Linked DNA regions of Tribolium castaneum. The protein of the gene in region 2 purifies or fractionates together with the protein of the main gene of each other region. This does not show direct contact. Links are inferred from orthologs where the notes say so. Each region holds a gene or a part of one and is shown on either strand. Other genes may lie near its edges.

Evidence for each region. The genes of interacting proteins can lie anywhere in the genome.
Region 1: the proteins of Brf (region 2) and Trf purify together in Drosophila melanogaster (affinity purification with mass spectrometry; 3 studies listed by BioGRID, with this or other methods). This does not show direct contact. The link is inferred for Tribolium castaneum from reciprocal best matches to the Drosophila melanogaster genes Brf and Trf.

The regions. Positions count from the first base shown.
Region 1 is NC_087402.1:7,354,078-7,358,889, forward strand, and holds Trf (uncharacterized protein Trf), read right to left. Parts: upstream 3,124-4,812; 5' UTR 3,102-3,123; coding exon 2,988-3,101; intron 2,944-2,987; coding exon 2,861-2,943; intron 2,814-2,860; coding exon 2,570-2,813; intron 2,464-2,569; coding exon 2,188-2,463; 3' UTR 1,709-2,187; downstream 1-1,708. Other genes in the region: osi (electron transfer flavoprotein regulatory factor 1), read left to right, coding at 3,297-3,335, 3,425-3,628. UniProt on the Drosophila melanogaster protein: Acts as a transcription factor. Binds to the TATA box promoter element which lies close to the position of transcription initiation. May be essential for embryonic development.
Region 2 is NC_087396.1:22,068,463-22,073,651, forward strand, and holds part of Brf (transcription factor IIIB 90 kDa subunit), read right to left. Parts: intron 1,499-5,189; coding exon 1,349-1,498; intron 1,289-1,348; coding exon 1,195-1,288; intron 1,023-1,194; coding exon 890-1,022; intron 841-889; coding exon 750-840; intron 592-749; coding exon 454-591; intron 1-453.

The DNA.
Region 1 (4,812 bases), on a different chromosome or scaffold from region 2:
ATGCCGTATCTATACTAAAATGATGGTAATAATGGAAAACAAATATTTGAAAAGTAAGAAAAAGAGGAGTTGATTTCATTTATAAAATATGAATGATGAATGAGTTCGCAGTCGCGACATTGTTTTTACAGTATGTGAGTTTCAAAATTACCATTATGTCAAGTCTGGAAGTTATAAAGTCTAATAATTATTCTTGCAAAATCAACTTTTATTAGAATTCGTAATTTCCTTCAAAAATTCATAAAAAAATATTGAAGAAAAATCAGTTCCGTCGTCGTTTTTTTTTTCTCAAAATCTGGAACACGATAATTGCGAGGCCTGGCCTCAATACCGTGGCTAACTTTTGCACGAGCTTATTTCAGATTGGATGTTTTTGTCATCTCATAGGCTGGCGCTAATTTCCCGCATATAGTCGAAGTGAGGGAATGCCTTTTGTTGCCCCAAAGACGTAAAATTGCCCACGTCATGCAAAGTTTTTCATGCGTGCTTTCAGAAATGATAAGCTTTTTCACCACCATAGGATAAACGAATTTCCAGGCAGTCTGTTACCAGGACAACGGTTTCGTCCTGGCGTCAACACTAAACTTGAGCTTTGACGTCAAAACAACGAATCTCACTTATCTTGATGAGAACAGCAGCGCGATGATTTTTTTTATTAATTATTGCGTTATCATATCTGTCGGGAAATAGCGTTGGGCTTAAAAAACATATTTTTTTGATTAAAAACCGACACAGAGCTTCGGTTCGCATCGATTGAGCTTAAAATAGAAAAATTCAATTATTAGGCAAAAATTACTAATCCCTCGGAATTTAAGTCACTCATCGCAGCCACGTGGCCCAGTTGTTTGCTTTCACAACGATTTGTCATGTTCATATAACAGACAATTACGTGAAAAGGTCAAGGTGCATGAACAAATTCGTTCAATTATTCCCTAAATTGATTACGAGCTAGGACATTTTATCGAAACCGAGAGGATGGTTTTGTTATTAATGGACCGAATCTAATTGTTGCGGCCAGGGCCGCGTTGTTTGTTTCTCGCGAAATTAAGTTGACCTGAATTTCATCGCAATTATTACCCCTGGCTTAATTTTAGCGCTTCGATTTATTGTTCTTTTAAACATGCTTCACCTTTGAGCTATTTCTGGCAAACAACAACTGATCACGGAATAATAACAGTGAAAAATCGCGCTGTTTACTCTCGTCATAATAAAATAAAAGCAAGATTTGTCGATATGTGGCGAGTTTTCAGCACTGGCGCCACCGATTCCCAAATCTATATTTGCCGGTGGGACATTCACCCCTGAATTGCATTTACTAATCTCCCAAAGTAAAACAAAGTTTACGGGTTATTCCAGTCGTGAAAGATTGTTCTTTGTCTCCAATAAAAAAGTTATGGAATATCAAACGCAGTTTATTGCTAACAAAAAATGTACAAACAATAAAATACAATACAGATAAACCGTGATCCTAAGTGGCCTAATCTAACAATAATAAATAAATTAACGACCTAACATATGTATTGTTATAAAACAGTTTATCTGAGTTAGAAAAATCTCACAGGGTACGATTTGATCAAATTTATCCTTTCTATCTTGTACAAAGAAAAGGAGAAGGCAAAAGAGGAATAATAAAGGGGAGTTTCAACCTTTTGGTTCGGATTATTGCCTTGGAATGAACAAAGTTCAATCGATATTGAAATACGCTAGATTCACAAAAGTACAATTTATTTTCAATTAACAAAATAAAATCGAAGAAAACTTAATAAAACAAAATTGGCTGTTTGAAGCCTTACGTATGTCTACGGCCATTAACGCCCACCTAAATAAAAACTCGTGTTTTGAGTAATTGCTCACAAAGATTGACTTAATTTCCGATTCAAATTATGACTGTTGCGCCCTCAGGTGATCGATTTTAATATTAGTACTTCACTGTAAAATAGCGGTAAAACTAATACCATCGCTCTATTAACTATTTTAAAAATCTATAAAACCTTTGACATAAATACAATAACAGGGCGTAGAAGTCTTAATTTGAATCAAGAAATAATTACGGTGAGGAATACACGTGTAAAAAATAATTTTATTACGTCATTTGCGTAATAGAGAGAAATTGTTGCCAGTGCCCTCTATGGACCAATATCCATTATTAAAAATTTCTCAGAGTAATATCTCAAAGAACCAGTCTACTTAATTTTTCTTAAAGCTACGTAAAATTGGGTAAATGTTATCCAGCGATTCCTTAATTCCTTCTCGCGACTTGGAGCCTGTGAAAACAATTTTCCCATTGACAAAAATAAGCAAACACAAGTGTGGTTTAATCATGCGGTAGATTATTCCAGGAAAAAGTTCAGGTTCGTAACTACAAAACTGTCCATGCAATAAACTTAAACTTTCCAATTTTATGGGGAATCTCAAATCGCACGTCGCCACCAGATTCTGTATCTTAAAGTTGTCAAATTTGATCTAAAAAGGATATTTTAAATGCCGGGTCAAAGTGGTCTATGACTTTGAAATTGCTGCCAACTTAACTTCAAAGTCATAGGCCACTTCATCAGAAATTAAAACATACATCAAAGCCCAATTTTTGTATAATCCGGGCAAACTTTTTAGACGCCAGGAGCGCATCTTGCTCGCTTTTAGCCCCAGTGCATACAATTTTACCAGTCTGGAATATCAAAGCTGTGGTTCTTGGATCTCTAAGTCTCATAATTAACCCATGAAACCGTGCTGGGTTATATTCCGAGTTTCTGGTCCTCGCGTTAATTAACGCCAGGTCTAGTTTTGTATTGAGATCAACCGTGGTTACGCAATTTCTACGAGAATTGCATTAGAGAAAAAATCCATTTTTTAATTTACTTACTGTATTGTTATGTTTGTATGAGGTTCACCAGCTGCTGAACCAGGAGTTGCCACAATCATGTTAGATTTTCCGGGAATCTGAGGCTAATATTAACATAATAAATGGGGAAAGTTAATAGTGGACTTACTGAAGGGGGCACAGCTGGGCCTGCGGACCAGTCCGGGGTAGGGACAGCTGGAGTAAAACGTGCAGGGCTATTCAACATTGCACGCAAGTGCACGTCTGTTTGTTTTTGTTCCATTTTTCTGTGATTATTTAAGAAATTACTGAAGGGTTAACAGCTGTCAGTAATTGAGGTTAAAAGTAACTGACAACCATATGATTTCGAAGGGATTTTCGAGTTGCCAACGTAATTATCTTCTCAAGGGTTAAAGTTCAAAAAAACAATATTTTGTGTTTCTGTGCGGTTTTTAACACTACCCGGACTCATTTTAACATGTCTTTACGCAAGGAAGTGATTCAGCTTTACAAAACAGTAAGTGTGGTTTTTTGTGTTGTTTAGTATACAGCATGGCTCCAAAATATTGTGTATACAGAGTGAGCTTTAAAATTGACATTTTTTAGTTGCTGCACCTGGGGAAAGATTATCCGTCTGGTTATGAGTTTTTTCGAACGCGCTTACATAAAGCATTCATGAAAAATAAAGATGAGAAAGATCCAGAAAAAATAAAGAAAATGATTGCCCATGGGCAGTATATAGTGAAAGAGTTGGAAACGTTGTACATGCTGAAGAAGTACAGAACTTTAAAGAGGAGATATGATCTGTGATTGATGAAACACACACACAAAGTGGTCAACAGGACGAGTGATATGATTTATTTATTTTTTGTCTACTTAACAAGAGCAAGGTTGCCACATTTTATTTAATTTCACAATATAATAATATTATCATACTTATTGTTCTTTAATAACATTGAAAAATTAACTATACAATGTAATAATAATGATAATAAAGTGCTATTTTGCTATGACTAGATAAGGAAAGCCGTTTACAGTTTTTGTTTTCTTTGTTTAACTAAACCTAAGATCACGTACAATTACATTCCTAAGATATTGCCACTCCAAGAAGCTCGTGCAAACTACAATTGTCACCACCTGATAACAAAATAAGATCACGCATTGATGATTACCAAATTTCTTCGGTATTAGAGCTAGGTGTGTGCTGATTTCTTACTAAATAAATAACTTGGGCCCATATACTGGTGTTTGGGAGGGTACATACATAAGAGGGGCCGTAACACTTCTCTATACTGTTTACATACTTTTTTATTTTACACAACATTGTAACATTATTTATAGGTATATACAAGAAAAGAGGAAGAATAATATCATTTTTTCTGTTTGGTACCCTGGACCGTGTGATTTTTGGTCAGGGTACCGCCAAATAAAATTTTGGAACGGAATTCTACTCTACGTTGTTTAAAACAGCATGTCTCAATGCTGACGCAATCCCAACAATGCGCCTTTTGTCGTCGTATCGTTGTTTTGGTGGTAAATAGGCAATAATAATCCACAAATTGCAATAGCGCCCATTGTGGGATTGAGATTCGAAAGTTTTTTGTGCTCCGGTCCATTAAAATTTGCAAAGTAATTTCAACTGTTCTACAAGCTATCAAATTTCTATTGTCTGTATGATCTAATCGTCTAATACTCATTGGCGACTCTTCCGCGTCTGTTTCAATGTGGGTGTTACAATTTCGAAACGAAAAACGGTTTGGAAGAAGGCGATCTATTTACAGAAACAGTAGTTCGTTGAAGGCAAGCTGAGTAACCTGTTTTCGGGAAAAATAATAAATTAGGTAGTCCCGAGAGTTACATCGAATATTTCCTTCAAGTAGTTATTATAAAATATATGTTACTGACATCTATGATGTTACAAATATACACTTATAACTGTTTTCCTTTTAAGTAAATTAAGTAACGCGACGTTTTCTCATGCTAGGGAACCAATA
Region 2 (5,189 bases):
TATTTACATTTTCAACGTTTTACTTTCGAGCGCAAACCGCAAAGCACGCGTACCAAAATTAATAAAACGCTTTCAATGAAAACCGAATATCTGTTTTAATTAATAATTTATTTAAAAAATTAGAAATTCAAACGACTCGTGTTTTGATTAAAATTTTTCCGCTAGACTTGTTTTTCTTTGTTTTGATTATGCCATGTTTTGTCCTTAAATTGTCCAAACACAATGACGGAAGCCACTTATCTGCTTAAAATGTAATTGGCGTTCATGTTTTACAATATTGTTTTACAAATATTGTTGAGCATCTCCGCGTTATGGATTATTGTTTACATGTCGAGCACTTTGACGGCAATTAATCATTTTTTTATTCGCGTTATGCGCCTTTATCCGTAATTCGTTTTTATTGCTTGTTTGACTAAATAATGAATTTTTTCGTCGACTTTTTTAATCACTCACCCAACTCCTTGACCGGTTCTTTCGCGATTTCTGGATCCTCGATCGCCTCCTCTTGAATAATCTGATTGATGGTCCCCATCGTCGACTCCCGAATAAACCGATTGGTCTCCTGTATCTCCTCCGTGTCCCTCTCCTTCTCTGCAACATAAAGCACAGCCTCGAGCCAACTTAATTAACACACCGGACTCCCGAATCCAAAATAAGAGTCGTTTCAAATCCGGCAAACTTTGATTTTTGTCAACACGACGACCGGAAAAATTACACTTCACCGGAGCGCGCTTCGCTTTGATACTTACTTTTTCTCGATTTCATTTTCGCATCTCTATTCAACTGCATCTCAATCTCCTGCTGGAGCTCAGTTATACTCTCGGCTTCCTCTTCCATCAACTGCGACACAAAAAGCGAGTAAACACACACACAAAACGACGAAAATTACCCTCTGAAGGCGCTCTTTGTCCTTTTTTCGAGCCGCTTTAAACGACGGCGGGTCCTGCTCCTCCTCCAGGTCCACCGTCATGAACTCCTCCAGCGTGAGGGCGCTGCTCGGGGTGTCCCCGAACTCGATCAGTCTGCAAAATAACCCCAACTGCTTTCCAGTAACCGTCAACAAAAAGAATAACCACGTTAACCTGTGGCGCTAAAATTGTTGATAACCGTTATAGGTGACGGTTACTAGATGGTAACCGTCACAAATGACAGTTATTTTCGGGGTAACCGTCACAATGACGGTTACCTACGCACCTTTTCCTCAAGGTGGACTCGTGCACTTTGACGATTTTGACGATATCGCTGGCGGAGCGCCCGAATTCGTGCAATCTTGCTGCGATGAGAAGGGCTGTGTATTGAAATGGTGTTGTAAAAATTCAATTTGTTGATGGAAAATTGCGTCGATTACCTGCCCCGCAGAGTCCTGAAGGACGTCGTCCCGAATGTATCGAGTCCCTTTTCATTCTTTGTACGAGTCTGAGGGCGGTGTTGGCGACCTGTTGTGTTTTCGAGCCGAATTCCAGTTTAGCAGCGAAGCGTAAAATATAGAGGCAAGGGTCTGGAATCGATCATTGGTCGTGTGATCTTTGTTTATGATGAGAAAGTGGCGGTTGTTATTGTGTCGTCAGAGGGGAAAAGTTCACACGTCCGGAGGTTACAATAATATGGAGCAAGAGAGGAAAAGTGAAGAGAAAAGTATTGAATTGACTTGCACGTGGTGCTAATTGCAAAATGTGCGATGGTACTAAGTTCAGCGTAATTGCTTGAATTTATTTTAATTAATTCGCTCGTTTTATGGAGCATGAAATTCCGACGGATTTTTGATAATGACGAATTTTCATACTTTCATACTTTCTCGATTATGAATTGTGGGTCAGCAAGGCGAACACGTCAAAATTTGATTGATAAACCGCGTACAGTAAAACCTCGCCTTGTGATTTTTTCGAACTGTAATTATTTAAATCGTGCCTCAGTCAATTGGTTGTTGCTCTAGGGCAGTGATGTAGACATTTTCATGACATTACGTTCACTCCACTTGTAGAAATCATCGTAAAATAATTAAAAATTCTTCTCGTTTGCAATAGACATAAACGTTTCCTTCGTACAAAACAATAATTAAAAACATTTAAACCTTGTTCCCGGTAATTGCACATGACAACATCGATAATCTTCTTGTATTTTGATTCACCTAAACATTAATAAAACGCAACAAGATATTTCCGTGTATTGAATTGATTTTTTTAAAAACCTTGCAACGTTATTACAAATAACTGGAATTCGTGTAAACAGAATGACCGTTTAAAATAATTGCAATAATTAGCATTAAAGAAATTATGAATTACTGCCTGATTTATACTCGAATGGAAAAGTTTGCGTGCGAGAGAAACAATCAAACTTGGGATGGCTTTAAACCCGAAATAAACTTTTATGTACTTAAGAAATAAAGCTTTAATTGTGATGGAAGATTATGATGCCGCGAACCTGAAATAATTTTAAGACGCTTTTAGCCCGAAAAAGCGACCGAATCTTTTTTACTTCAATCGGGATTAAAATGCGACTAAACGAAAATTTCAATAAGTTATAGTTTGATTAATTAAATTTCAAGAATTTTATTTACTTGACTCACGCTTCAACAATCTGCTTCTTTTAAGTAGCTTTATGCAGTCTGTAATATCATTCAAGGTGATGTTTACAAACAACAAAGTTTATCAAATTGTTTGTTCAAAAAAATGTAAAAACATTAAAACCATGTTAATGGCTGATTGAAGGCCCGTTATTTAAATACAATCAATTGGAATCGAATTCTTGCAGCCGTAATTCATTGTTCGATCAACATTCCGTGTAATAAAGATAAGGAGCAGGCAATATTTTATGTGCAAACACTCAAACAAAAGTACATTTTTCTTTAATGTCCTACGAGAAAAATACTGTTCCGCGATGTTTGCTCTCTTATCTTCGCAGCAGGCGATCGATGCGCAACCAAACCGTCTCAGAAAGTAAAATAATTTCGAAAATTGTAATTAACCGAGTTTTTTCACGGTCAGGTGCGCCAGTCTTTGTACTTTTTACAATACAATGCTAGTGTCACCGGTCGAAAGGTCGCTCTTAACTAAAACAAGAATTTTTAATTAGTGGAAACCGATTCAGCACTTCTCGACGGAAGCCACCGACGAAATTGTGTCTCAACAATTTTAATATCGGATTCAAATCGCATCGTGTTTATTTGTAACTTCGTGCTTAAACTACTTTCCCTTGGTGGTCTCTCCCGAGGCATATAAACAGTCTGAATTGACTTAATTTGCAATTAATTCCAAACAATGAGACGTTAAATACATCGAAATTGATTTTTCATTGCAGGCAAATATTCTGGAATTATGTAATCGGCAGGCCCGGCCTGGCTGCTCAAGCCCACCGGGGTAGGAAACATAGACATTCAAAACTACCCAGTTTTTTTCTCTTCTTTCTTATTTATCCAAAGGAGTCGGCGCAAAAAGAGTTTTTCGCGACTCAGTAAGTTAAAAAATAACCAGTCCGGCCCTGTTGGTCGTGTCAGAAGTCACGTAAAATTTTCGAAAAGTCGTCAAAATTTCCCAACGAATCAATCGAGGAAGTGGTCGGTGGAGTGTGACGAAGTCTGATAAAAAGCTGACCTACTTCCAGCGTAATATCCATTTCGTGTCGGTTTTCTTAAGGGCCGATGATTTTTACGAGGTGGCATAGCAGAGGGCGAACAAACGACTCGACAATGGCCGAGCAAATGCACCTTTGTAACATATTGGGTTACATTACCTGCTGACAGGTCGTTGACTTGGGAAAATATGTCAGTAATGAACAGTTGGTTTGGCAATAGATGTTTGTAGCAAGTACCGTTTGATGCTGCAATCGCCGAATCACTGTCCTTGACTGGATTTCAAATTTCGGCTCGAATAATTTTTTCAAAGCCATTGGAGTGAAATTGCAAGTCACGCTTACTTTGCCGAGACCGATATACATTCACTCGTGGTTTTTTCAGTTTTGTAATGGCACTTGTTACAGGATACCTGCTTTCTAATCGAAAGATTTTGCAACATGTATTTGCGGGCGAAATATTGTATTGTTTATCGAGATTTTGCGATTCAATGTCGGAGCGCTTGATTTTAATGACCTGAAATTACTGCAGACTTACAATGTCACCACGGCAATGCCATTTTTTCAACGCAATGACTCAATATCCAAAATTTACAGTCGCCACATCTGCAAACAAATTGCTAAATTCTAACAATCGACTCGAGTGGCATTAAAAATTTTTGCAACGACTGTCTAAATAGTTAAATAAATGGGGACGCCATTAGCGATTCTTTTGCAACGGATTTTTTAAGAAGATGATGGAATGACGATCGTGTATGCAAATGTGTAACAGCATTGACTGTCCACATGAGAAAAATTCTTATAAGGAAGATAATAATTGTCAGTTCCTGTTAGTAAAGGTCGCAGCTTTGCAAGTCCGGAATTTAAAACGGATTTATGAGACAATGTATGCATCACAAAGCAAAAAATTCAAATAATGGTGTTTTAACGTCTGTGCCAAATTGCAGTGAACAGTTACCATCACTATAGTAAAAATCATCCTTTGTTACGTTCAAATGTGGATAATAAACCGCAATTAACCGTTAACCAATAAATACGTGTTTTTTGCCCATTTCATCAGCATTCACTACGTCTACAGCAACTTGTAACAAATTTTACAATGTTAATATTTTAATATTCCGGAAATTATTCATCCTTAACTCAAATTTATTAAAAAATCTTTTTTTTCAGCAGATGTTAATTTCTTTATCAACTCTTTTGAATAGACAAAATAACACTTTAACCACAAGGATAAACGTTTTTTTTTATTAAACTACAGTCAAACTTCGATAACCCGAAAAAACAGTTATTAATGCCAGCAAAATATCAAAAATAACTAGAAAAAAAAGAAACTTCAAATTTTAATGGCAATTTATTTGATTATATGTTTTAATGATAAGCAGTATACAAAAAACATTATTTTTCAACAAAAAAATACAATAGATAGTGGGCTCTGAAAAATATTTTTTATTATTTCGTATGTCTATCATTCTAAGATAAACGCTGCTTCTAAATGTTGTTTGCTGCAAAAGTATTTAAAAAAATTGTTACTATAGACTCAAAAGTCCAAAAAATTTTCGAAGTTCGACTTATTAAGGTTTGACTGTAATAGCTACAAAAAAATTTAGCTACAAAAACCCAAG